Linked DNA regions of Canis lupus familiaris. The protein of the gene in region 2 interacts with the protein of the main gene of each other region in a pairwise test. Links are inferred from orthologs where the notes say so. Each region holds a gene or a part of one and is shown on either strand. Other genes may lie near its edges.

Region 1 (3,500 bases), on a different chromosome or scaffold from region 2:
ATAAATTCCATTTGGCCGTTAGGGACATTCTGTGTCTAAAGTGCTGATGATACAACTTAGGAACATATCCGTTGGATCGATGCTTTACTAGTTAAGCCAGAGGTTTTAATAAATAAAAATAATCGAGAATCAAGACGAGATAGTGGAATTTATTCTTATTATGGAACTATTTACTGACGTTTATTGCAGCAAATATTTATGGCCTCTCACAGGGGAAAGAAGCAACCCTCCACATTTCCCAAATTACGTGAAAATAGTTTTCATCGCTAGCAGTTCCTGTGCTATGTGAGTAAGTTTACGGGGGTAGAGAGAGATACTCAGCAATCCATCAGTTAGGCGGGAAAGTCCCCGCAAAGACTCATTGGCACGTCCTATTCCCTTGGGTGTATGAAGTCAAGCCAATGAGCAGGTCATGGTTGTCTGATCTCTCTGCTCCCTTCTGTGTCTAAGGATCTCTCTGCTCCCTTCCGTGTCTAAGGCTCTGTGACTCACCGGGGCTTCCACCATGTTGGGCTTGCTGTTCCTCAGTGTCTTGACTGCGTGGAACACGTCCACCACATTTTGCCGCTTCACCATTTCGACCACAATGCCTATGGCGCAGAACATACCACTTCGCCCACCACCATTTCTGGAAGCAAAGAAAGCAAAGTCCTGTTGAGATGGCAGCTTTTATTCACCGGAGGCCACATATCTTCTAAGTTTAGAAAATGAAAGCAGGATCCCTTTTTTCCCCACATTTTGTATTAATTTTGCTTTGTATGCATGTGTGTGCAGAGGGCAGAGAGCAAGGACACGTGGGGGTGACATTCGCTCCATAGCTTATACTTAGGAATATGCTGTAGGCGCTGGAGGCCGCAACTTAGCTACCTTGACATTGTGGTACATTTGTAAACTGTGTACATCAGAAAAGTGGTTCCGAGGGGTGTTCGGAAGAGCTTAGGTCATAGAACAGCCATATCATAATCAGTGTTTCAAAAATTGTGGAAATGAAGATGGGGAGTTAATTAGAGACTCATGAGACGGGAAGATTCTGTTAAGATGGTATCCACGGAGATCCCTAAGATGTGAGCGGACTCCTTCACAGAGGAAACACGAAGGCTACTGAGGATCTGAGCACCGAGCCCCCGCTGGGCGGGCTGAGGCACCATACTCACAGGCAGTGGATGATGGTTCGGCCTTCCCCTTCCTCGCACTCCTCCTGCCATTTCTCCACCTGGAGTATCAGTTTCAAAAATGACCGTTTGGAGCCAGGCACTTCTCGGTGAGAGGCCCACCCCAGATACTGAAACTGCTGTACCATCAGGTAACCTTCCTGTGGCTGCAGAGGGAAAGGTATGTTTCTGTAAATAAGTTGGGACTAGAATTTTTACTAAAAAGTGGAGGTGCGTACAAATGTACACCGTGATATACATGCCCTTTACCCTGGATTGAGCCTAGCACAGAACCAGTCCAGGTCACAGAAGCAAGAAACATGAGAATTACCTTTATACAAGCTTCTCCCTCACACCCCATATCCAATAATGGGTCACATTTCTTAAATAACTTTCAAATTCTTCTCCTCTTTATCACCGCTGACATCACTGCATATGCCCAATCACCAATTATGATAATTACTTCCTAGTTGATCTCCTTGAAGAAACTTTGATCTCCTTCCAAACCATTCTTACTGCAGTATCCTGATTATTTTGAAATGCAAATATGATCTTGTCATTCCCCGCTTTAATGGCTTCCAAATAATCTTACATAAAATCCAAATTGCTGCAGTGGCTGAAAAATTCCTATAGGGTATGGCTCCACTTCCTTTCCCGACCTTCTTCTCTTTATTATAATGCATTCTAACACATTGGCCTTTTTTTTTTTTTTAAGATTTTATTTTTTTATCCATGAGAGACACACAGAGAGACAGAGACACAGGCAGAGGGAGAAGCAGGCTCCATGCAGGGAGCCCGACGTGGGACTCGATCCCGGGACTCCAGGATCAGGCCCTGGGCTGAAGGAGGTGCTAAACCCCTGAGCCACCCAGGGTGCCCCCATTGGCCTTCTTTCAATCCATCTATCAGGTCATTTATTGCCTGGGGAACTTTGTACAAACTTTCCATTTGTCCTCCAAGGTCTCCTTCTTGTTTGTGCCTCTCAATCCCAAACACAGTAATCAAGTTGTCTTGGCTTTGTCTGGGACTCTTCTGGTCTTTGAACTGAAACTCATGTATCCTGGGAACCCTCTCTGTCCTGCGAACACCAGCATAGTTGTTTCTCCCAACCCAAATAGCTCCTACCGATCCTTCAAATTTTGCCTCAAAGATCACTACCCCAATGAAGTCTTCTCTAGTCACCCAGCTATGTCAGGTTACTCAAACACTCTGGATTTTGTACTTCTCTAAAATTTCTCATTTTTGTAAATAAATGATTATACAATGAGATGTTCAATGCTTGTCTTCCCTGATAAAATATAAGTTCTTTAAAGATGAGGAAGTTTCTCTTTCTTCCCTAAACTCTGTATCACTAGAACCTAGCAAAATAGTATCCAAAGAATAGTACCGTTGAATGAATGAATCAAGACACTAAGCCCTCAGATAAATGTAAGAAAGAATTTGTAATACAGGAGTGAGCTGTATCATTAGACATCCGATCTGAATTTCCATATGGTAAGGGCTCACGCATCACTAGGAGCTACTAGTACAACACCCAACTTCTTCTCATGGGTGCATATTAAATATCTGATGGAGTGCCTGATAGTAAATAAGATTGGGAATAGAAAGACAATCGTGCACTAATAAGAGCCAGAACACCAAATATAGAGGAAGATAAGTAAACAAATATGATGATAAAAAAAAAAACCCACAGATTTCAGTTCCCATCCTTAGAATATTTTTCATATAAGCAGTTCAATAAAAAGACAATTCTTACTTTCTTAGTTTAGCAGCTACGGTTTCTCAGCTAAAATATTACTAGAACCATAATGGAACAGATGTGCAGACATAATGAGATTCCATTTAAATTAACATCTAAGATATGCATGGATATTATGACATGATTTGGAGTTATCCTTTTTTTCTCCACTGAAATGAGCGACAGAATTGGATATGATTTTATCCTCTGCTTATAGTTATACATACAGACTTATTAGCCAGAAACACATATAGCCATTTCGATGTGAAAACACTGAAACATGACAATCTGAATCATGCACTTAAAATAATACACATACACAGAGCTGCTGCGCTAAAAAACAGAGGAATGCTCTTTAAAAACAGTGATTCTGGGCACCTGGGTGGCTCAGCTGGTTAAGCGTCTGCCTTCGGCCCAGGTCATGATCCCAGGGTCCTGGGATCCAGCCCCTCATCGGGCGCCCTGCTCAGCGGAGGAGTCTGCTTCTCCCTTCCCTTTGCTTCCCCCCACCACTCTTTCTCTCCCAAATAAATAAATAAAATCTTAAAAAAAAAAAGAGAGAGTAATTCCATGGATATCACTAATGATTTCTTTTTCAAATTCTGCTTACT
Region 2 (4,227 bases):
TTGAAATCAAGGGTCAGGCCTCAGGCGCCCATGAGAGGGCGGGATTCTGATTGCAGGAGTCACGGCAAAGAAACAAAGGTCAGGAGAGAGGAATCAAAGGTCAGTTTGGAAATGCTGGTGAGTCAGACCACCGAGACACAGAGGTGAGGTGGAAGGAGGGACTACGGGGAGAGGATCTCAGATGTCAGGCTAAGACACAGAATTAATGCAGAGAGTAGCAAGGAACCAGGTTTGGGAGAAAGAGCTCAAAGGCAAGGAGAAAGAGTGAAGCCTAAAATGGGAAATTTTAAGACGGGGTGGCTTCATGGAAGGGTCCTGGGCTCTGGTGTCAGATGGGTTGAATGCCATCCATGTTCTATCCCTTACAGGCTGTTTTACCCTGGGCAGCTTACTTATGCTCTCTGGGCCTCAGCCCCATCTACATAATGGGCATAATAGTAGCATCACAAGGTTGAAGGACATAAAGCATGTAAATGAAGTAAAACTAACCATTCAAATGTGGGTTATGGCCCCCTCCCGTTGAACGAGGTGCCTGACCAGCGTTCTTTAGATCCTGTACAATCTGTGCCTGCGGCACATAGCGGCACACGCTGTCACTGCTACCGTCATCTTCCCTGTCGTTATGTACAATAACAATAATGCAATGGGTTTCTGACACAGAGAGAACGGGGTTTTCTTGGGGGGGGGCGGGGGCAGAATGCATAACTTATCAGATTCTCACATGTATCCGTGACCGGAAAACAAATAAACCAACCCAAACCAACCCAAAATACAGCCTGAAATGCAGGGAAACTAGTTAGGAAATCATAGTTGAGTGATAACCCTAGTAAGTGCTTTGCCTGTCCTGCGGTGAACGCCGGCCTTTCCGAATCCTTCACCCCGGCACATCCTCCATCCACGTTGTGGGACCTCAGTGTCGGGACTGTGCCTCCTTTATGGATATTAGCACAGCCTGTTTTCTCTACCCTGAAGACCAGGCGCCCCGAAGCCTGCCTGTGGCCAGAAGCAAAGGAGATGCCGGCGCTAGGGCTTTGGGAGCGGCGCACAGGGGCCGCCGGCGCCCTGGGGGGCTGGGCTCTGGGTCTCTAAGCTCGCCTCCCCGAGGGGAACGGCCTCTAGGCCCCGCGCGCCCCGCTCGGCGCAACCCGCCTACCTCCTTGGACAGCCGCTTCCAGGGCGCCGGGCCCTCCATCCCGCCGCGGCCGGCCAGAGGGCGCGCCCCGGCCCTTTAGAGGCCCTTTAGAGGCGGCGGCCGGGGCGGGGCCGACCGTCCAGGTGACGCGAGCCCGCCGGGTCCCCGGGGCCGCCCACGAGGGGCGGGCCGCGCTCGAATCTCCCGCCAGTCCGCGGCCGCGCGCTGATTGGCTGCGGGGCGCCCGCGCCGGCTCCCGATTGGCCAGCGCGCCCGGGATAAAGGCCGGCGGCGGGGGCACCCGGGTCAGGCTGCTGGGCGGTGGCACCCGAGGGCTCCCGAGCGGCGGGCTTCGTGCAGGCGCCATGAGCTGCATCAACCTGCCCACCGTGCTGCCCGGCTCCCCCAGCAAGACCCGGGGGCAGATCCAGGTGCCGGCGCGGGGGTGGCACCCCGGCGGGCGCGGGTGGCGGGCCGGGGTCGCGACCCGGGTGCGGGTTGGGGTTGGGGTTGGGGTTGTGGCCCTGGCCTGCAGTCCGTGCGCAGCGGGCCCCGAAGTGACCTCTCCTTCTCTCCTAGGTGATTCTAGGACCCATGTTCTCAGGAAAAAGGTAAATAAGTAATGTCCTCGCGGGGACGGCCTTCTCCCCCCTCCCTTCCGGGGGCCCGTCCTCCTCCCCTGCTGCCCCTCTCAGTGCCCCCCTGCAGGACGACCCCTCCCCCGGACCGAGCACGCGTTCCCGCCCCATGCGGTCCTGCAGGAGGGCGCCTCTTCCCTGCCCGCGGGGTTCAGACCCTTCCATGGGGTCATGGCACCACGTCGCCCCCCTGCAGCAGGTTATGGCTGCTGAGGGTGTAGTCCTCCCTCCCCCCACCCTCCCACTAAATCTCTCTTGGAAAGGAGCAGCCAAGTCTTTTCGTTTCGTTTTGGTTTTTTTTTTTTCAATTTAAAATTTTAATTCTTCTAAAATGGTGTCCTCGGTGAGCTGGGTCCTGTGCACCCTGCAGCATCCACACTCCTCCTTCCCTTCCTAGTGTTTGTTTCCTTAAGTAGTTTACACACTAAGGAGTCAGGCCAGGATGCCTTTGCTCCCCTGATGTGACAGGACGGTGGCCTGACCCAGGCAGGGCTAGTCGGCCCCCTGAGTGACGCCCTCTGCCCTGGGGGGGGTCACTGCAGGGCAAACCTGGTGCCCACCACAGTCAGGCCAGGGTGGGCTCTGGGACCCAGAGGTAACTGCTTTTTTTTCTTGAACAACAACAACAAAAGACTGCGAAGTCAATGCAGACCATGTGAAGACCTCTGGGATGGGACTCTTTGGGGATGCAATCCAGACCCCTCTTCTCTGTCGGAGGCCTTTGACTCTACTCACCCCATCAGATCCCTGAGACATTTATTCTCCCACCCCCTCCCCAGACCACCTGACCTCTGTTCCTTGCCATCACCACCCTCTGTCCTCTCTGGTTTTTCTGTCCATTGGTGGGTCTCAGGCTGTAGACCCCCAGCAGGGGTGGGGGGGGAGCCCCACTTGTGCTAATGGGGACTTCCTTAACATCCTGGGTCTCACCTAGTGCTCTGCTCTTGCAGTACCGAGCTGATGAGAAGGGTCCGTCGCTTCCAGATTGCCCAGTACAAGTGCTTGGTGATCAAGTATGCCAAAGACACGCGGTACAGCAACAGCTTCTCCACGCATGACCGGTCAGTCCCTGTTCTCTCCTGTCCTGTCCCAGCACTTCTTCCGGAAACCTGGTGAAAATGCGCAAGGGCATAGGCCATACTGTCAGAGCGCTCTTCAGCAGGACTGGTTAGCCATGCCGGTGGGCGGCATGGAAACGTGCAACTCAGCAAACTCTCAAGGTCGCTTGGCAAGGGATCTTAGGACTTGGCCTCTCACAGAGTTCTGGCCCGGTGTTCTTCACAAAGGGAGATTTTGTTCCCCCTCTCGCTCCCTCAGAGTCCATTTGGCAATGTCTGGAGACATCTGTAGTCTTCACAGCTGGAGTAGGGGAGGGCATGCTATGGGCATCCAGTGGGGAGAGGCCAGGGATGCTCCTGAATTCCCAGTGCACAGGACGGCCCCCACAACAAATACTGACCCTGCCCCGATGGTCAATAGTGCCGAGCTTACATCTGTGCTGTTGCAAACTGGTTTTGTTTAGCGTGCATGTTGCTTTTCATTTAGCTTTTCAGTTGTTTTATCTTGGTTGACTCTGTTGTCTTGTGGCCTTCATGCTTCCCAGTTTTGTGTTTATCTGCCTGTGCCCTGCACACGTTTCAGTCTGCAACCTGAGGTCGGGAATGAGAGGTTGAGTTTAGTTTTACTCTTGCCTGTTCCTTGGCTGCAGATTTCTGAGCCTGAGATGTTACCTCTTTTGGACTTGTCCGCCCGAGCCGCCAGCGGCAGAGCCACGCTGTGCCACAGGGAGGGCTTGCAGCCTCAGGACTGCCCCGTGTGTGGCTTTGGGGTGGGAATGTGGGGTTTCTGAAGCCGGGCGGGTGGTGGGTGGATAGTGTCTAGGAATTGGAGTTAAAGCATCAGGATGTGAGTGACTGGTGCTTTCTGCCGTGCTGCCCTATGCAGGTCATTTAGGTCTTGCAGTTACTTCTTCCCTAAAACATGTGTCTGCTTCTGCTGCACTGGCCAGGGGCACATCCAGGGAGGGCAGTGCGAGCAGAGGAGGCCGCATTACGCAGTGATAAGTCAGATCAGGGGCATGTCTGAACTTGGCCGGAGCCGCACACATGCCCTCTCACTTGGGCCACAGAAGCTGAGACGGGCCATGGCTGTGACTCAGCCCTTGGCGGGAGTGACAGGGCTCCAGAGATGCTGCCCTTGCCCACCCTCTGGTTTTCTCTGGCTTGGGGTGGGAAAGGGGAATTTAAAATGCAGGAAATACCATCTCCTGCTCTTGCCAGATCTTGGAGTAGACTTATAGCAAGATAATAACTGAGCAGTGGTTGTATTTTATTTTTTCTAAATACAGCTACAGGCTGCTGAGCCTTTGGAAAGTACCAGCCCCCAGGGGTACCTGGATGGCTCAGTTGGTTAAACGTCTGCTTTTGGCTCAGATCGTGATCCCAGGGTCTTGGCATC
Region 3 (4,098 bases), on a different chromosome or scaffold from region 2:
TCAAAACACTGAGAGGGCTGTATTTGGCAGGTACGCACGATGGTCTTGGCACTGACGAGTTGAGCTTCTCATGGATGATGTTCTGCACCATGGTGTGCACTGGCGAGCCATATCGATGTCCAACTGCCCTTGGACAGTCCCCTTTACAGTATCGAGGGTTGTATCTGTGCGGGGCCACGATCCAGTTGTCCCACTTCAGCTGACTAAAGCTCAGCCTGAAGTCGTGGAGCTCACACTCGTGTTGGGGGAAAAGAAAGTGTTTCAAGTATTCACTCAGATTGAAAGAAGCGGGAGCCAGAGGCTTGTGCAGTTCCAAGCTGACGGTGTCCTGACCTCTCCGGTGACGGGAAGATCTTCCACCTTCAGTCGATTCCTCTCCTATGGGACAGGCAGACAGACCTCCCTTCTGGTCAGCCCTCTGTGAAGATCTCCTTTTATAGTGAAGGGAATCCCACCTGTGATGAGCCTGAGCACTTGTGTCATTCAGATATAAAAGCAGGGATGGGGGTACCAGCAGCGTCCTATTCCACGGCCCATCCTGTGCCACAGGATCCTGCTGCTGGTTTCTCACACAGGTAAAATTTACAGACATGTGAAGACTTCTCTTGTGCAAGGCCACTAGAGGCCGGAGAGCAGTGGTCACATCAACCTCAAACCATTTGTATTTCTTTTTCAATTCAAACTGTGAGTTAAAGGTCAATAAGGATGGAGCTCTCTGGGGGGTCCAGCTAGAAAACTCTGGCTCTTTGATCACCAGGTGGCACAGACATTTAACGGCAGAGGGGAAAGAAATGGAATTGCTGAAAGAGTACAGCAAACCCGACTTCAGTAAGTGTTCAACGGGAGGAACACGATCCAGGTTAAAGAGCAGGTCCACAGGTGGAACAGAGCCTGAGAAGAAAAACAACCTGCCAGTAGTGCTTGCATACAAACACAACATAACAAGCAGTCAAGGCATTTGTCCTTGTCATGTGCTTTCTCCCTTCTCTTTCCCCACTTCCCCCAGTCTTAAAGAGGAAGGGGGGGGGGGGGAGGTGAGTCAGAGAAAATACCTGCTACAGGTACCACGCTAACTGCCAGAGTGCCCAACCTAGCTATTTTATCAACAGAAAGTCTGAATGGCTTTGGTGGTGAACAACCATAGAAAATCATTGTTTCCCAATCTCAATCATTGGCTCCAAACCTAGAAGCAGCTAATAAATACTATTTTTCTCCTGGAGAATCTCTAGAGAGAAAACTCAAACACATTTATTGGTCTTGTTAAGACGACTTTTTAAGCCCTAATGAACAGAATCAACGAAAAACTTAATGGTCTAATTGGGAACACTTGAGAATGATAACAAATGGAGGCTCTAAAGCCACTGTAATAAGACTTTGAAAAAGGAGAAAGGGTTTTTTTTTTTTTTTTAAGATTTTGTTTATTCATGAGACAGAAGGAGAGAGAGAGAGAGAGAGAGAGAGAGAGAGAGAGAGAGAGAGAGACAGGCAGAGGGAGAAGCAGGCTCCATGAAGGAAGCCTGATGTGGGACTCCATCCCGGGTCTCCAGGATCATACCCTGGGCTGAAGGTGGCGCTAAACCACCAAGCCACCGGAGCTGCCCAGGAGAAAGGGTTTAAAACAGCCACAGCTGACCTGTTGGGTTAGAACTGTTTGTGTCAGGGGCACCTGGGTGGCTCAGTGGTTGGGCATCTGCTTTTGGCTCAGGTCAGGATGCCGGGGTCCTGGGATGGAGTCCTGCATCAGGCTCCTCTTCAGAGAGAAGCCTGCTTCTCTCTGCCGGTCTCTCATGCATAAGTGAATAAAATCTTAAAAAAAAAAAAAAAACAGTTTTGGTCATGAGCTAGTAAGAATGTAGAGGGATTTTTGTTTTGTTTTGTTTTTTAAAGCACTGCTCCTTTCTCACATAGGACTCCAAAGTGCTGGGTCAGGTTGATGACCAACACCTGGTTCTTCAGAGGACCTACTGTTCCAAATGCAGACTTCAGTTTTCCTCATATAAAGCAGTAAAATCCTATTTAACACAATAGATACTTCGGTAGCTAGGAGATGTTTTAGACACAGTTCCAGGTCAACACTGATAGAATGGTAAGAATAAGCCAAGAGAGGTCAAAATACCTGGTTTCCAGTCTGAATTTTGTGACCTGGATAAGAAGCCAACCTCCAGCCACACTCTGTTCAGCTTTTAGAGCTGTTAAGTCTCTTCTAGCTCTAAAGTTCTACCATAGGAGCCCCCCTTATTCCAGGAGAGCATTAGGAAGAAACAGTAAGATCAAGTACCAGATTTGTTGCAATGTGGATACTGAGGATCATGCAAAGTAATATGTAATTCGAGGAGCAAGGCCCAGCTCCTTTCTAATAACTGCAACACAGACAAGTCTATCATCTTCCCACCACCCGTTAACCAGTCTGCTCCTACACACCTGTCGCCTGGTCCCCAGGAGCCTGCGTGTGCTGGGCACAGGACGTGAAGAGTCGAACAGTGTTGTAAAGAGGGCTTCTGTTGGATTTAGGGATCCCCTCCTTGGTAGCACAGGCCTTATAGAGCCTCTTCATGTAGCGCAAAGCTCTAGGCGTGCCACCTTGCCCATCATATAGAACCTTGAAAAGAGGAGAAAGGAAGCCAGATCTGTCTCTTCCATCTGGAGGCCGCAGCAATGACCAAGGCTCAGCCACAGATTCCGACTCAGCTCCAGCCGCCGCCCGAGCTTCTCCTCTCGAAACTTGAGAACCAAGACTAATAGGAAAACACAGCAACGTTAAGCAGAAAAACCAAAGGAAGAAGTTGCTGAGAAGTGCCATGGCCTGGAAGAGCTAGCCAGGGATGCATTTCCCCATATCAGTCTTCTTCCTAAAAGCCCGGAAGTACCTAGGTTGGTCTCTTAAATAAATTTTAGGTGTGGGGGTAGGCTAGGGTCACTTCTGTAATCAACCTCAAGGACGCCTAGCTGAAGACAATTTTTGTCAGCTGTGCATCAAACTGCTGATACCGTCCTATTTATCTAATTTGTCCTCATTAGATACAAATGTATCTGTTATTTCACTTTCCTCTCTCCCTTTTCGAGGCATTTATTTAAAACCTCTTCAGTTATTGTTATGCCAATGGACTAGTTATGCAAACTGAAAGGCCAACGGAATTGAGAAATGATCATAAAACCAACCATTTTTTTGAGATTAGGATTCTTAAAAAGTTCCTTAGGTACTTGCTGGGACTTCCAAAGCAAGTGGGGAAGCTAATTATTCATGATGATATGAAGGTCTGTTGCTATGTAATTTATTGGGTTGTTCCCTCTTCCTCTCCCTTCATCCTCATCACCTCCCCCACTGCCAGGTGGTTAGAATAATTACTTACTGCATATTGCTTTGGAGAGTGAGGAAAAAAGTCACAATTGACATTAAAACTCCAGAGAGCAGAGAACCTTTGGGTTGCCCAATTCTCAGGGAGCTTCCTATGGATTATGTACTTGGAATCCTGCACTATGTTTTAATAAAGGACATCACTTTTAACCTTGACTCATCTTTAAATGTAAGATCTTGATCCTTTACTTTGGTCCACACATTCATCTACATAGACTTGGGTTGAAAGATTTGAAGATGTTTGCAGGGTTTTTTGTTTGTTTTGTTTTTAAACTTAAATTCTAATTTTTAATTTAACTTGCTAGGGTGTTTTTGTTTTAAGGACTCACGTTCTTGCAGCTGAGACAAAGCTAGAGCTGATGTTTTAGGAACAGGAGACTGAGCTGTGCCGTGAAAGGCTGAAACGAGGGCTTATCCGGTGCCACCCGTAAGGAGACCGTGCTGGAAGGACGTCAACCCGCGTTCAGGGCACAAGATTCACGGGCACTCTGTGCGGTACCTACTAGGGTCATGAAACTGAGGCAAGTCTGCGAGTTTTCAGTTCGATTGCGTGCCAAGGCGCCCTGAGCCCCGGCTGGGAGGCAGGGTCCCATAAAACACCTGCCCCCTGTTGAGTGACAGCGTGCTCCGACAGCACACGCGGCGGGCGGGCAAGTCACAGACTCCGCGCGCCGAGCAGAGCGGCCGGGCCCGCAGCAGCCTCCCGCCCAGGGCGCTTCCCGAAATCCCGAGGCGGCCGCCGG
Region 4 (3,967 bases), on a different chromosome or scaffold from region 2:
AGATTAGTTCTGATTCTTATACTTTATGCCATGATGAACTAGACACATGTTAAACAATAAACCTGTAATGCAATCGTGAAAAGCTTTACAAAAGGAAAGCAGCAGTAACTCGAGAAAAATCCAAGCATCTACAGAAAGTAAAAATCATACTCATTTTAAGTTCATGAAAATGATTTAGTACCATCAAAATTATCAAAAAATCAAGAAACTGTGCTTCCAATTAAAGAGCTGAAATTAATCAAATGATTCATAAAATTATACTTGCAAGTCATGAAGATTATTACTTACAAAACAGAACAGAATCAAACACGCAAGCGATAACCAAAATAAGAGTCAAATGGCATCAAAAAAACATCTGGTAATGTCCAGAACATGTGATGTCAAATCTCAGTGATTTGAAGAAATAAATGCATTTGAAGATGATGTACACAATTCATAAACCAATGAGTTAACGAACTCCCAATGACTTACACAGGTAAGTAACCAAAACCTAATTCATTTTGTAAAGTTTTTAAAAATGCCAAATACATATAGCCGAAGGCTTAGAAATTGGGTCAAAGAGTTAAAGTCACAATAAATAAAAAGGTTAGGTTCTTATACTATCTTATTTCTAACATTGCAGAACAATGCATTCTTAAAACAAATTGTGTTAAGTTACACGTCATCAAATACCCAGGCCAAAACAAAGGTAGAAGAAATGAACAACCATGAGAAAGTATTTTTACTTTTGCATTATCTATACAGAACACTACATCTGCTTCTCCTCCTAGCTTCCACCAAAAGTAAACCAAAACGTTATACGTACACACAAGCTGGCTCTGTTTACGATTTGAATCCCAATGGTTCTTGGCAGCTCTTCAATGCTGTTTTGGCTCACCGCATTTAGTGACCGTTTCTTCTTAAGATGCCGTGCATGCTTTTTTAGTCCTTCTTACAATTCCATTTTGCATATACTTGTAATTAAAATAAACCTTACTGAGCTAAAATTTGTAGAGAAATAAACTCGTATTCTCATAATAATAGCTAACACATAAGTACTGCTTTTTTTTTTTTTCTATACTAAGTATTCTACATATACTCATTCTTTTAACTCTAAAAATATCTCTAGGCGCTCTAATTTACTGGAAAGGAGACTGGAGAAAGGCACTTGGTCTCACGAACTGTTAACTGTCAAAGCTAGGATTAAATTTAGGCAGCTTGATGTTCTTCAAACATAAATCCTCTTCCATGAATTCTACGCTCAATTTCCATCTTTCTTCACATTTTCCTTCCGCAGACACCAATTAAGTTTTTTCTCACCACTTACTATATCCACTAACCATGGAGTCTACAACTTAAAATAGTCGATCTTCCCTAACAGTTCTGTTCCCCTTTTATTTCATGTTGACTAACAGAACTTTAAAAAAAATTGACTTAGTGATAAACTGTTTTGGAAATGTGCAACCACGTACGCCTTTTTAAAAGAAATCCTGGAATCTCCCTATGTCAAATAGGGAGATATCCAACGAGAGAGGGCGTTCTCATTACAGCTGCTTCAAAGACTCTGTTCCCAACCACCGATCTCACGTGGCAATCATTCTACTTTTCTTCCTTTCCATATAAAACTACTATTTAAAATTTACAAACAAAATCCAGGGCCGCCTGAGTGGCTCGGTGGTGGAGCGCCTGCCTTCGGCTCAGGGTGAGAGCCCGGTCCCGGGATCGAGGTCCGCATGGGGCTCCCCGCAGGGAGCCTGCTTCTCCCTCTGCCTGGGTCTCTAACTCTCTGTGTCTCTCATGAATAAGCAAAATCCTTTTTAAAAAAGAAAAGATCCATTCCCTCAGACGAGATCAATTTTTCAGGTTGTGGTTTCATATCCTAAGCATCCCCTGCACACATTCTTCCTTTCCTTCTCACTCCTCTGAAGGAACAGCCGTCCGCACGGGAGGGCCTGCGCCACCTGGGCCGCACCATCTGGGCCGCACCACCTGGGCGGCACCTGCTGGTCCGCGCGCGCGCTGCGTGTTTTCCGGCGAGTGCGCGAGAACCTTCCAGAAGGCGTCCGTCCACGCGGGCGCGCCGGCCATGTTGGTCTTCCTCTCCCGTGGAGAGCTGCTCCGTCGCAGGAGTCGTGCGGGGCCGGGGCGGGCCGAGGCTGCACGTTTCCAGGAGGGGCGCGCTCGAGCGCTCGGAGGGCTCCAGGGCCGTGAGCGCCCCGCCGGCCGGCGCTCGCCCCCAAGGCGCGCCCACTGCGGGGCCAGGGCGCCCGGAGGAGAAGGCCGCCTGGGCACCCTGCTAAGAGGCGGGCCGGGGCAGGCGTGTTGAGGGGGAGTCGCAACCAGTACTTACCACTGCGAGGCGTTGCCCGAGCTTTCCTCTGCGGGTTTCAGGAAGACCCTCTGGAGGTGATTGGACATTTTAGAGGGGCGGGAGGGGCCGGCACCTCCAGGGAAGTGGGCAACGAGGGGCCGAGGGCCTCCCGAGGGGCGAGACCCGGAGCGACCCGGTGTTGGGCTGGACGGCGCCCAACGGGTTCGCTGCGAAAGGAGGACCCCAGCCTTCGGAAGGAGGCGACGCGGCTGCCAGAAACCGGAAGGACCGCAGCGGCTGACGACGCGGCCCGGCCCCGGCCTCTGGGAGGAGCGGCCCGAGTCTCCGCCCCCCGCGAGCCGACGGCGTCGCGCCAGAGCCAATCGGAGTCGACGCGGGAGGCGGGGCCTTAATGGCACCGCCCCCAGCAGCGCTGGGTCCGTGGGGAAGACCGCGCCGGACGGGCTCGGCCGACCCCGCCCACCGCAGCCGCCAGCCGGGCCCAGCTCAGTCAGCGGCTTCCGGCATCGTCACATCCGGTCGCCGAGGTGACTGGCTCGCTAAAGCACCGCCCCGATGCTACGATCCAATCGCAGAGGACGTTTGGTGTCTCTTCTTCCGGATCAACGAACGAATCACGAGAGGATATGCTCAAGATGCCTACGCAAAATAAAACGCTTCCGGGGTCATTGGTAAATTTTCTGCCAATGCGCTCGCCGCTCCTGCACGTTTCTCTTTCCCGCCAGCGCCGGAGGAGACGTCGGCGGCGGCTCTGGACTAGTGCCTGACGCTGTGCGCGCCTCTTAGACGCCTGCCCGTGGGCAGCGCTCTGTTTATTGCCGCTTCCTGCGCTTTCTCGTTCATTTCCTCTTTCTTGAAGTTTTGCCTCTCTTCTTAACCTGACCTTTCCCTCCACCGCGCGTTCATCTCATGCCTCGGTCAAAGTCATCGTCAGAGTTAATCGGCTGGTTCTCTGAAAGTTCGCCCTCCATAGACATCTTTTTTCCTCTTCACTTGGCTCTCCGGAGAAATTCTTTTCAGAAGTCTCCCGGCTCCCGGTGTTGAATCCTGCATCCGAGAGACCGGCCAAGCCCCTGGTGGAAGGGCGGGCGGTGCCGTTCAGCCGGGGCTGCAGGGAGGCGGCGGCAGGAGCGGCCGACGAGGGCGTCTTATGAGGGACAGGCGGTGGAAGTGTGAACTGGCGCATACTGACTGTCCGGCCTCGGGGGCCGAGTCCCCTGGCCCCTCATCCCCTAGCTCCGTGGTAAGCGCAGTGAAACGACAGTGTTCCGACAGGTTAAGAGAAAGCACGACTTCCTGAGCGCGGTGCTCTGTGGTAGTTTCGGTGGCACAGAATCCTGCGTGTGTAGCTGGCGTCTGTCTTTCAGTCGAGTATGTCCCGCACTAAAAGGGGGCGAGGTGCTCAGCCCTTCATAGGGGCTGGGTTTCCGTCATTCTCTGATCTGAATAAGTTGCCCATTCTTGGCTTCTTCCCTGCTTCATCATTTATTTCTTACCTTCCACACTCAATTCTCCTCCTACCCATCATCTCTTCCTATGTACGAAAACTCATTGTCACAGGTTGGTTTCCCTGGGAAACGGACTTTGTCCGGTGTATTTTGGCGTGAGGGAAGTTTATCAGGGATCAGTATAGGGGAGGGGAGGGAAAGGAAGTGA
Region 5 (3,500 bases), on a different chromosome or scaffold from region 2:
GATCTGACACGAACTTTTGTTAAAAAAATCTGTTTTCCCAGTCATTTAGGATTCGTAAGTTGGGTGCTTAGTGCCCCTTTCATTCCTGTGCCCTGGGAAAAAGGCTTGGTACCTTTTTCATTCCTGAGAAAAGTATCTGAACATGAGGAAGGGTAGAATTGTTCTTGGATGTTTTCTCCCTCTGTGCTGTCTTCATGGATGTGTTTGCAAATGCCATCCTGTTAATTCCGTTAATTATAACAACATTGCTAGTCAGGGTGCACACTCCCAAGTGCTCCAGATCTAAAGGACTTAAAGGGTCCTCCTTTAATATAGAGAATTAGTGTGGAAATAGAATCTGTGAAGCGCAAGGTCCATCCATTATAAGTGAAATCACACAAGCTTTGCTTATGCTTGTTGAGGACCCTTCTTCTCCACGAGCAAGCCCTGCCCATTCACCCAGGGAAAACGGGATCGACAAAAACCGCCTGCTGAAGAAAGATGCTTCCAGCAGCCCGGCGTCCACAGCCTCTTCAGGAAGCTCCACTTCTTTGAAATCCAAAGAAATGAGCTTGGTAGGTCCCATGAGCTGTCCTCTGCCTGTTTAGCAGTTTATTTTCCTTTGTGGTTCAGAGGACCCTTAGTACCTTATTTTCAACTGACCCATTGTGTTGGGGCATGTTGGCATTGGGTTGGGGGTCAGAATGGGAATGTACTCAAGTGGTCACGCCCCAAGAGGCCTGAAACTGATTCAGGGAGGGCAGAGCCTCCTTGTCTGTTCCTACTTTCAACCATTCAACAAATAACGTGGAGCATGTCATCTCTTAACCCACAAAAGCTGAGACATAACAGCTCTACGTGTGATGCTTATACAGTCTTCCTGGGCATTATCCCTGTCACCTATGGGGAAGAAAGTCTGAGGAGCCTGCCAAGTTTATACAGCCCATCAGATCCAAGGCCAGAGGGAGCTAGGGTCTCTCTCCCTATCCCATGCATGCTCTTGGCTTCTCCACAGTGTTCCTCAGACTGGGATTTAAAGGAATGGATGAGATGCAGAGGATGATGCCCCATGACCCTGTTACTGCCACACCCCTGATGGCCTCTGCGCTAGAGGTCAACATCTGTCATGTAGGCAAATGGGCAGTGGTGCTTAACACCTCACACAGCTCTCAAAGGGACAGGACTCCTCGGGCTTTTGCCTTTGAGATGCTGGTTTGTTTCTCATCAAATCCATGGCCCTGCTGCCTCTCACTAATAGTCTCAATCCTACTGCCACTGACAGGCAAGATTAGAAGAGGGATCCTCCCTCTGACATTCTCAGTGACCCAGCCATTTGTTTCTGAAGTGCCTGGGGATTTTTCTCTGGGTGGTCATCGTTCTGACTTGGCCCACATCCAAAGTCCACATGCCTGATGGAAAAATACTTTTTAAAATAAAATCTGCGGAGGAAGAAGTGTGATCATGTTCTGTGTCTCTAGCTAGAGTTTTAATTCTGGCAGGAAGAGGAAAGGTCAACATTTCTCGCTCACAAGTTAATGCTGTCAACATTGTGTGGATTTATGAAAATTGGCTGAGGGAGTAGCTAGAAGGTGCCCAAGTGTCCCAGCTGCTGTTGTGATAAATTGTGTAATATGGCTTGGATTAAAAATAATACTCATTTAATTTGTTTAATGATACCAGCATGAAAAAGCCAGCACGCCTGTTCTGAAATCCAGCACACCGACGCCTCGGAGCGATATGCCAACGCCGGGCACCAGTGCCACTCCAGGACTCCGTCCAGGCCTCGGCAAGCCTCCAGCCATGGACCCCCTCGTTAACCAAGCGGGTAGAGCAACATTGCCTCTTGTTGTGCTTTGTTTTGCGTTTCCCCTTCCTGGCTTGGGTCGTTGTGTGTGCACTCCTGACGCCATTTCCCCATGAATATGAAACACACTCAATGCCCGCCTCCTTCCCATCCCTGAAAAGCCATGATAAGAAACAGATGTTTGTCCTTAGGTTTCAGCAGCTGCACCCTGTTCGGTCTCCGACTGTTTATATTTGGCTCCACCACTACCACCACCCCCTCCCCACAAATAATCCAAATTCCAGGGACTTCAATAAAGTTTCCGATAATTATTTGCACATAAGCTCCTGACCAAACTATCACTTGCATTAATGAGTTCACTAATACTAACCAAAACTGCCCTCCCAAGTGTGCTTCTTGCTTACTTTTTAGTTGGCCATTTTTTTTTCCTGGTATATCCCTCAGGAATCAGTGGTCTGTCATTAGAAATTGGGGGGGTTTCACGGAGTCTCCAGCCCATGAATAAATTAGTAACTTTTAACTTAATCTTCTTTAACACCTTGGCCCCAGACGAAAATAGGCCCTAGAAGATTCCTTCTAAACCCATGCTTTGGTTTCAGTCATGAATCCAGAGTCAGGTCTTCATTTGGAATAGGTAACAGGGAATGAAAATTTAGACTCTAGGAGGAATCTTGGATTTTACCAAAACCTTATTTTGAGATTAAGTCAGATAAACAGGTAGTGCCCTGTGCCTTGGTTTACCTTCTGTGAATCGGGCACAATAGTGCAGTTTATTAATTTTAATTGCCTGGTTTCCCAGTGCTGGAGAGCCAAGGACAAAGTGCATGGACAGTGCTTCCCCTGGGGTTCATTCTTCCCTGGAGATGAATTCAGCTGAGTGGGTGGTGATGACCGCCCCCTATGTCACCCAGGCCATCCTTGTCCTCACCCCTTGTGAATGGCACTAGAGGTGACTCTGGAGTTGACGGTCAGGCTGGACCACAGCGCTGGCTGAGTGACATCCTGCACATCTTGTGCTTCCTTGCAGCGGCCGGCCTGAGGACGCCGCTGGCGGTGCCTGGCCCATACCCCGCCCCGTTCGGGATGGTACCCCACGCCGGCATGAACGGCGAGCTGACCAGCCCCGGCGCCGCCTACGCCAGCCTGCATAACATGTCCCCGCAGATGAGCGCTGCCGCCGCTGCCGCCGCCGTAGTAGCCTACGGGCGCTCCCCAATGGTAGGTGCCACGGACAGGCATGCAGGTGGGCAGGCAGGTGGGTGCACAGGTGGGCAGGAGGGCAGGTGAGCTAGGGCCAGGGCCCCCGCCGCCACCACCGTGGTGGCCTACGGGCGCTCCCTGATGGTAGGTGCCACAGATGGGCACTCAGGTGGGTAGGCAGGTGGGTGCATAGTGGGCAGGTGAGCCAGGGCCAGGACCCCTGCCGCCGTTGCTGTGGTGGCCTACGGGCACTCCTCAATCGTAGATGCCACGGGTGGGCGGGCAGGTGGGAGGGCAGGTGGGTGCACTGGCAGGCAGGTGATCCAGGATCTGGACCTTCACCTGCGCCTGCCCACCAAACAGAGCCCCAGTGTCCCCACTGCGCCCCGCCTGCCACCATCACTATGCTGCTTCATTAAGTTAGGGCTCGGCGCTTCTTGGTTTACTGTTTTTGTGGATGAAACAAGGCAGTGTTTAGGAGCTACTTTTGCGATTCAGGGGACATCTGGTTTTCTCC
Region 6 (4,275 bases), on a different chromosome or scaffold from region 2:
AAGGCATCCTGGTTGCTAAATGTGGCTGTCCCCTGAATGTGTTTGTCTCCTCCTGGTTGGTCTTGACCAGAGGGTACTGATCAGGATGGAAGGAGGGCTTTCTAGACTTGTTCTGAAAATTAAAGATTTTGCCCTGACCATTCCTTGGAATGACACTTCTCCCTGTCCTCCCTCTCCCCACCCCATACCCACCCCAGGCCATCCTGGTTGCAGGCAAAAGGGAGCCTAGCAAACTCCAACTTAATTTTATTTCGGCCACCAGGATTCTCTTCATGGACTGACATAATTCTGGATCATAAAGACAATGACCATTTGATTGAGGGTGCTGCTCTCCAGCTCCCCCACAGTGGGCTGCGTGTGCTATGGCGGGCTGAACAGTGGCCCCCAAATACAGCCAGGTCCCAATCCTTGGAACCTGTGAATGTTACTTTACAGGGAAAAAGAGATTTTGCAGATCTGATTGAAGTATGAATCTTCGGATGGGGAGATTATCGTGGATTTATGATTAAGGATCTTCAGATGGGGAGATTATCCTGGGTTATCCCAGTGGGCACTGTATATAATGCCAGGTGTCTTTATAAGAAAGAAGCAAGGAGGGGTTTTATCGCACAAGGCGATGTGACTACAGAAACAGAGGGACAAAGAAAAAGATTTGAAGATGCTGCTAAAACACTGGAACTGAAGGAAACTGGAACACATTTCCTGGTACCTGCTGGTTGCGGGCACTGGAGTGGGCTCTGCAGGCTCAAGGCACAGGTCTTCACCTGCTTTCTGAGAGCTTTCACTTTGGATGTGGCACAGGCATACACTGAAAGAACCAGCTAGACAAATGGGTAGGGGAGCAAGGGGGAGTAAACGCAGTGCACAGCGACGTGCTTGGGCGTAGGAGTGGGGAGGGGTCGGAGTGGGCTGGGTTTGTCCCAAGCGAGTTTTGAAAGGCTGCTGGAGATGGAGGATAGAGGGAGGCCGGGAAGGGCTGGAGTGCTGGGCACGTTCCTAGTATGTAGGTAATACGGTATTTGCAAGGAGGAAAGGACACGCCGGTGAACCATTCGCGACCAGGTTTCACCTCAGATTATCCACTCAGTGAAATACCTATTTAGGTCCTTGGCTGTCGGGTTGGACGCGGCAGAGGCCCGCACGTGGGCGTGGGGCATACGAAGGGAACTGCCAGGGGAGCCGGCGCGGCTGAAGCACGAGGACCGAGGGCCGGGTGGCAGGCAGGGTCCTGACCCTGCGGGGCCTTGCACGCCATGGCCCGGGCGCGGATCTTGTTCTGAGGGCAATAACGTGGTTCTTCATTAATTCTGCAACAGTCTTAGGAACTGGGCCGTTTTATCCCAGTTTTACTGACGAGGACGGTAAGGCTGGGAGCGCGCAGGGTGAAGTAATTTGTCCCAGATCTGTCACCGCCGCAAGCGCGTGGCGGACCCGGTCTTCCGAAGTCCACCCGCTCCGGGGCCGCCCGCCCCACCCGCCGAGGCCCCGCGCCCACTGAGCATGCGCCGCTGGCCTACGGAAGCCGACGGGGAGGGGGCGGGGCCGAGGCTGGCGGGCGCGGGGAAAATGGCGGCGGCGGCGAACGGGACTGGAGGGAGCAGCGGGATGGAGGTGGATGCGGCAGGTAACGGGCCTCGCGGAGGCGGCCTCTGGTGACGCCCCCCGGGGAGCGACAAGGCCCCCCTGGACTCCCGGGAGGAGTCAGCAGTCGGGACGGCGATCCCGCCCCCTGGACTAACTTGCGGGAGGGATGTATGGCTCCGGCTCTGCCGTCTCCCGCTCGCAGCTCCGGGGCAGAACGTGCGGCCCCGACGCTCACTCGTCCTCCTTTTCCTCCACCCTCAGTAGTCCCCAGCGTGATGGCCTCCGGCGTGACGGGGAGCGTCTCCGTCGCTCTTCATCCCCTCGTCATTCTCAACATTTCAGACCATTGGATTCGCATGCGCTCCCAGGAGGGGCGGCCTATGCAGGGTGCGTGCTGGGCGTCAATCTCCAACCTCCTCTCCTTGGTCACCTGCCCCAAGTAGGGGTCTTTGCCCCCGCCCTTCCTGAGGCCAGTCCCCCCTCCCCAGGTCACCGTGTCTCCAGCATTGCGTTCCCACTGACCTCGACCCAGGGACCGGATTCTTAACCCTCCTGTTTTCCGTGTCGCTCTCTCCCCCAGTGATTGGGGCGCTGATCGGGAAGCAGGAGGGCAGAAATATCGAGGTGATGAACTCCTTTGAGCTGCTGTCCCACACCGTGGAGGAGAAGATTATCATTGACAAGGAGTATTACTACACCAAGGAGGAGCAGTGTGAGAGGGGGATAGACTCGGGGGTGAGGAGTGGGAGTGAGAAACAAAGGCAGAGTGGGGAAGATGGAGAGTGATGGGGAAAAATAGGAGAATGGGACAAGAACTGTGTTTGTGTGAGGAGAGTATCACAAAGGATCTCAGAAAAGGAACAGTTTAGGTACCCACCCCCCAGACAGTAATAGATGAGAGAAGATAGAAGGGACTAATTATTGAGAACTGAGCCAGGAGTTGAGCGGGGAGGGGAGAAGCTGATGAAAAATATACCAGGAGTTTCCAATGAAGGGAGGGTGATTTAAAGAATGATACCCTGTGCTCTTTCCCCTGCAGTCAAACAGGTGTTCAAGGAGCTGGAGTTTTTGGGTTGGTATACCACCGGGGGGCCGCCTGACCCCTCTGACATCCACGTCCACAAGCAGGTACACATGCATGCTGGTGCATGCTGGGGCAGGGCTTGAGCAGGGGAGGAAAGATGGGCATTGACACCCACATCCCCATTCCCTTCCAGGTGTGCGAGATCATCGAGAGCCCTCTCTTTCTTAAGTTGAATCCTATGACCAAGCACACAGATGTGAGTAATACTGACCCCATGCCCACTTAGGCACGGTGCTGGACAAGCATGACAATCTTACCCTCCTCCCCTGCTGTGCTTTACATCTCTGTTGGGCTGAATCTTCACTTGAGGTGAATTCTCCGCTCAGCAGCTGTGTGACTTTAGGTTAATCATTTAATCTCAGAACTGCTTTTTGCCCTATGTATAAGGTGGGGGTTAGCCTTACTTCAGTGGGCCCTTGGGAAGATTGGGAAAATCTGCAGAAGAGCCAGTACGGTAGCCCAGGTGCACTTGATGTAAGAGCTGTCTCCCGTTGCTTTACAGCTTCCCGTCAGTGTTTTTGAGTCTGTCATCGATATAATCAATGGAGAGGTAATGCCCTGCCTTTCAACCCCGCGGTCCTGCTCCTTGGCCTTTCCTGCTCCTGACTCTGCTTTTGTGCCCTGTAGGCCACGATGCTGTTTGCGGAACTGACCTACACTCTGGCCACAGAGGAAGCTGAACGCATTGGCGTCGACCACGTGGCCCGAATGACAGCCACAGGCAGCGGCGAGAACTCCACAGGTAAGGAAGACTGGAGGTGTTTCCTCAGCAGTGGGGGGTGGAAAGCGTGGCCAGGTGCGTTTTCAACCTTGGCCTCTCCCTGTCTCCCCCCAGTGGCCGAACACCTGATAGCACAACACAGTGCCATTAAGATGCTGCACAGCCGGGTCAAGCTCATCTTGGAATATGTCAAGGCCTCTGAAGCGGGTAGGACAGGCGTCTCCCTGGCACGCCTACCACTTTTTCTCACTCCTGAGGGTGACCTCATCCACATTAATGCAGTCCTTCTGTGCCTTTAGGAGAGGTTCCCTTTAACCATGAGATCCTGCGGGAGGCCTATGCTCTGTGTCACTGCCTCCCTGTGCTCAGTACAGACAAGTTCAAGACAGACTTTTACGATGTGAGTCTAAAACCCAGGCTGGGGACGTGGGGTTTGTACATCATGTCTGCACGCAGGACCCGGGACTCAGACATTCCCTGGGCAACTGGTTTTCTGTTCCTTCCAGCAATGCAATGACGTGGGGCTCATGGCCTACCTTGGCACCATTACCAAAACCTGCAACACCATGAACCAGTTTGTGAACAAGTTCAACGTCCTCTATGACCGACAAGGCATCGGCAGGCGGATGCGGGGGCTCTTCTTCTGAGAGGGTACTTGAAGGGACGATGCACAGGTTGGACAGTGGTCCCACAGGGGAGGGGCATCACACTCCCTTTAGAGAAACCTCCTGTTGATAATAAAAGAGGAGCAGCCCCTCAGCACCCCTTGCAGTGGCTCTGTCCTCTCTGTTGGGCACCACACGGCTTTCTCAACTCGGATCTTGAAAGGAGGCCCTTGGTTCCAGCCTTGCTCGGCAGGACAGCCTGATTGGGAACTCTCTGCCAC
Region 7 (3,500 bases), on a different chromosome or scaffold from region 2:
CCTCTACAGATTTCTAATCAAACATTAACTAAAACTAGACAAAAAAGGAAATAATATTTCATCATATTCAGAAAATACTTCATCATATTCAGAAATTATGGACAGTAAAAAAAGTATTTGTTCTAGTTTTATTTTATCTATTTATTTTACTTTTAAACCATGACTGATATTCTAAATTTAAAAATATTTAAGCTAGCGAACAAAATTCCAACGAAATACAGAAAGTTTTCTTTTAACTGACAAAAAATTAGTACAGAATCATTTAAAATGGAAAATGTCACATTGCTTTAAATTCTGAGAACATATAAAATGTACAAGAAATTTTATATAACATTTAGACAGCTCAAAGATTTTCCCTTCCACATGATTTTTACATGTGTAAGGCACAACTCTTAACTCTGGTCAAGAAACTATGATTTATACATAGAAACATTAGTATGGTTAAGCATGTGTATACTTTGACCTAAAAACTTGATAACTGACCACATAAAATCATTTATTTTATTAGTAATAAATTAAAACTTGTATCACCTGATTCTCTGCTCTTAGATTTGCAAATTCACTTTTCTCTAGGATTACCATGTCTTTCCTGATGGAGTCCAAATGAGACATTAGTTGTTGTACTGTTATTTCCTGGAAAACAAAATAACCTAGTGATCTGGAATGGCATTACCTCACACAGAATTGTTTTCATGTAATGTAAAAGAATCTGTTGTTATGCTACAAAATATAATCTTGCTTAGCTAACTAAACAAAACCAAACCATATGAAACCTGTATATCAAAATAAAGAGGTTCCAATCCAAGGTTGCCACATACGAGGACCCTGAACTCACCTCTTTCATGGACACACCAAATCTACACCTATTTTTTTTTTTTTAAAGATTTTATTTATTTATTCATGATAGTCACAGAGAGAGAGAGAGAGAGAGAGAGAGAGAGAGAGAGGCAGAGACACAGGCAGAGGGAGAAGCAGGCTCCACGCAGGGAGCCCGACATGGGATTCGATCCCAGGTCTCCAGGATCGCGCCCTGGGCCAAAGGCAGGCGCTAAACCGCTGCGCCACCCAGGGATCCCTCTACACCTATTTATAAAGCATTTCCTCCTAAACAACACCGGGCTAACTGAACAGCTTCTGCACAGCAAAACATGTACCACATACAGAAAGGCAAGAGAGAGAGACAGTCACAAAGGGAACCCCCAATCCCGACAGAACTACAGTGGAAAGAGACTGTGCTGAATGACCATGAACAGATTTGTCTGCCCTGGGATACAGAAAAAATGATGAGGTTTCAAAGGGTAACTAGAATATAAAAGATCCAGCCCCAGAACCCTGCCAAACACTGTGGGAGCTGCTGCAATTCTCTGGTTCTCAGGCACTGGTCTGCATCACTGTTTATCTTCCCCCTCCACCTTGAGAGCACAGATGGGAGCAGGGTCTGGGAACCATAGCTGGCCTACCGTCTCAATGAGCACTAGGTCCCTAGCCCAAACCAACACAGTGTCCATGAAAGTGGCTCCAGTGTAACACCAGAATATCCATGGTCAGTTTTCATAACAGCTAACTCACTAACATAGGTGCAAAGCACCCTAGAGTAATCCAGGCCCCCACCACTTCACCTCCAGATAACTTGCCAGGACACCCCCAGCTCAGAGCAGGCCAGGACCTACCAAATCAGCTCACCTACACAAAGGGTCTGGGGAAGCCCTGGCTTGCACTCATTTCACCATCAGCTGTTCTCCCATGGTACCCTCTGTGTGGAAAGTCCCTAACCCACCCTGGCCCATACTCATTTAAGATGAAGCTGTTCTGCCAGGGCACTAGCTCCATGGAGGGCTCCAAGACTGCCCAGAATGAAACCTCTTCAACTTTAGCTGTCTTACCAGGCAAGTACCCTGGGATTGCCCCCAGACAAAACCCACTATAGCACCAGCTGTCTGGCCTGGGTGCAGTCTACATGGAGAGCTATCAGATTATCCCAGCCTGTACCCGCTTTGGTTCTGTATATCACACCAAAGTGGCCCTACCATGAAGTGCCCCAGGACCCAAGCCCACGACATCCGCATAGTCAGAAAGCCAGCTCAAGTCAACAGACACACATTCTCCACAAAGGACGATTAGATACAATATCATTCTACTTTTTAAAAGTAGTTGTTGCACATAATTAACAGAAACAAGGTAAAGCAAGAAGAAGGAACAAAGGAATCTGCTTCAAACAAAGCCAAAACCTCAGAAACCTAATTAGAATGGAAATAAGAAATATGCCTGACAAATAGTTCAAAATTATGGACATAAAGCCCATGAGACTAGACAGTAGAGTGAATAAACTCGATGAGAACTTGAACAAAAATACAAAATTAAAAAGAACCAATCAGATTTGAAGAACACAATAAATGAAATGAAAAATAAACTGAAGGGAATCAAGACATTAGAGGATGGAAAACAAGAGATCAGCAATATGGAAAAGAGGGTAATGGAAAGCACCCAAAGCGAACAGTAAAAAGAAAAAAAAAGAGGGGAGAGGTTAAGGGATCTCTTGGACAATATCAAGTGAAGAAACATTTGCATTATAAGCATCCCACAAGAAGAAGGGGAGGGGGCCAGATGAGTTACCTGCAGAAACTATATAGGCCGGAAGGGAACAGTATGACATTTTCAAAGTGCTTGATGTTGTAAAAACTTAGAACCTAAATATCCTACCCAGCAGGGTTATCATTCAGAATTGATGAGTTTTCCAGACAAACAAAAGTTTAAAAAGTTCATCACTGTTAGAGGTGATTTCTCTTATTTACAAGAAATAATGAAATGATTTTTTTTTTTGAGGAGAAAAGAAGAGGTCCAAATTAGAAGAAAATTATAAAATGAAAAACTTTCATGAATAAAAGCAAACATTAAGGTAGTTCAGCAAACACTTATAAAGTAAGTTTGAAGACTTAAAAGACAGAAGTAGTAGTCAATTATATCTAAAAATCAGCTAAAGGGACTCACAGATTAAAAAGATATAAAATAGGCAGCCCCGGTGGCTCAGCGGTTTAGCGCCGCCTTCAGCCTGGGGCGAGGTCCTGGAGACCCGGGATCAAGTCCCATGTCAGGCTCCCTACATGGAGCCTGCTTTTCCCTCTGCCTCTCTCTCTCTCTCGAATAAATAAAATCTTTTAAAAAAAAGATATAAAATATAACAACATACACAGAAAATGTGCAGGGGGGAAATAAAAATGAATTTCTTTAAGCATGTGTTTGAACTTAAGTGACAATATATGACTGCTAAGTTCTTAGGATGTCATATGGGAACCATATGGCAACCACAAACCTAAAATCTGTAATAGATACACACAAAAAACAAAGCTAAGCAGAATACTAAAGTGATGCATCACAAGGAATGAGAGCAAGAGACCAAGAGAGGCATGGAGAAGAACTATAAGAGTGACAAAATGGCAAAAAGAACATATATGTCAATAATTACTTTAAATGAAATGGTCTAAGTGTTCTAATCAAAAGAT

The links.
Region 1: the proteins of TK1 (region 2) and PTPRK interact in a two-hybrid assay, tested with the Homo sapiens proteins (2 studies listed by BioGRID and IntAct). The link is inferred for Canis lupus familiaris from reciprocal best matches to the Homo sapiens genes TK1 and PTPRK.
Region 3: the proteins of TK1 (region 2) and GDF9 interact in a two-hybrid assay, tested with the Homo sapiens proteins (2 studies listed by BioGRID and IntAct). The link is inferred for Canis lupus familiaris from reciprocal best matches to the Homo sapiens genes TK1 and GDF9.
Region 4: the proteins of TK1 (region 2) and LRIF1 interact in a two-hybrid assay, tested with the Homo sapiens proteins (2 studies listed by BioGRID and IntAct). The link is inferred for Canis lupus familiaris from reciprocal best matches to the Homo sapiens genes TK1 and LRIF1.
Region 5: the proteins of TK1 (region 2) and TLE1 interact in a two-hybrid assay, tested with the Homo sapiens proteins (2 studies listed by BioGRID and IntAct). The link is inferred for Canis lupus familiaris from reciprocal best matches to the Homo sapiens genes TK1 and TLE1.
Region 6: the proteins of TK1 (region 2) and COPS6 interact in a two-hybrid assay, tested with the Homo sapiens proteins (2 studies listed by BioGRID and IntAct). The link is inferred for Canis lupus familiaris from reciprocal best matches to the Homo sapiens genes TK1 and COPS6.
Region 7: the proteins of TK1 (region 2) and CCDC90B interact in a two-hybrid assay, tested with the Homo sapiens proteins (2 studies listed by BioGRID and IntAct). The link is inferred for Canis lupus familiaris from reciprocal best matches to the Homo sapiens genes TK1 and CCDC90B.

The regions. Positions count from the first base shown.
Region 1 is NC_049222.1:67,164,397-67,167,896, forward strand, and holds part of PTPRK (receptor-type tyrosine-protein phosphatase kappa), read right to left. Parts: intron 1,319-3,500; coding exon 1,155-1,318; intron 629-1,154; coding exon 493-628; intron 1-492. UniProt on the Homo sapiens protein: Regulation of processes involving cell contact and adhesion such as growth control, tumor invasion, and metastasis. Negative regulator of EGFR signaling pathway. Forms complexes with beta-catenin and gamma-catenin/plakoglobin.
Region 2 is NC_049230.1:3,864,583-3,868,809, forward strand, and holds the start of TK1 (thymidine kinase, cytosolic), read left to right. Parts: upstream 1-1,427; 5' UTR 1,428-1,497; coding exon 1,498-1,563; intron 1,564-1,711; coding exon 1,712-1,743; intron 1,744-2,720; coding exon 2,721-2,831; intron 2,832-4,227. UniProt on the Homo sapiens protein: Cell-cycle-regulated enzyme of importance in nucleotide metabolism. Catalyzes the first enzymatic step in the salvage pathway converting thymidine into thymidine monophosphate.
Region 3 is NC_049232.1:21,140,306-21,144,403, forward strand, and holds the start of GDF9 (growth/differentiation factor 9 precursor), read right to left. Parts: upstream 2,801-4,098; coding exon 2,422-2,800; intron 892-2,421; coding exon 1-891. UniProt on the Homo sapiens protein: Required for ovarian folliculogenesis. Promotes primordial follicle development. Stimulates granulosa cell proliferation. Promotes cell transition from G0/G1 to S and G2/M phases, through an increase of CCND1 and CCNE1 expression, and RB1 phosphorylation.
Region 4 is NC_049227.1:41,480,221-41,484,187, reverse strand, and holds the start of LRIF1 (ligand-dependent nuclear receptor-interacting factor 1), read right to left. Parts: upstream 2,801-3,967; 5' UTR 2,398-2,800; coding exon 2,330-2,397; intron 1-2,329. UniProt on the Homo sapiens protein: Together with SMCHD1, involved in chromosome X inactivation in females by promoting the compaction of heterochromatin.
Region 5 is NC_049222.1:78,233,199-78,236,698, forward strand, and holds part of TLE1 (transducin-like enhancer protein 1), read left to right. Parts: intron 1-401; coding exon 402-554; intron 555-1,659; coding exon 1,660-1,804; intron 1,805-2,810; coding exon 2,811-3,001; intron 3,002-3,500. UniProt on the Homo sapiens protein: Transcriptional corepressor that binds to a number of transcription factors. Inhibits NF-kappa-B-regulated gene expression. Inhibits the transcriptional activation mediated by FOXA2, and by CTNNB1 and TCF family members in Wnt signaling.
Region 6 is NC_049227.1:9,446,834-9,451,108, reverse strand, and holds COPS6 (COP9 signalosome complex subunit 6), read left to right. Parts: upstream 1-1,475; 5' UTR 1,476-1,500; coding exon 1,501-1,624; intron 1,625-1,845; coding exon 1,846-1,971; intron 1,972-2,164; coding exon 2,165-2,296; intron 2,297-2,623; coding exon 2,624-2,712; intron 2,713-2,801; coding exon 2,802-2,864; intron 2,865-3,170; coding exon 3,171-3,218; intron 3,219-3,295; coding exon 3,296-3,410; intron 3,411-3,503; coding exon 3,504-3,596; intron 3,597-3,688; coding exon 3,689-3,789; intron 3,790-3,895; coding exon 3,896-4,036; 3' UTR 4,037-4,154; downstream 4,155-4,275. UniProt on the Homo sapiens protein: Component of the COP9 signalosome complex (CSN), a complex involved in various cellular and developmental processes.
Region 7 is NC_049242.1:16,013,254-16,016,753, reverse strand, and holds part of CCDC90B (coiled-coil domain-containing protein 90B, mitochondrial), read right to left. Parts: intron 634-3,500; coding exon 532-633; intron 1-531.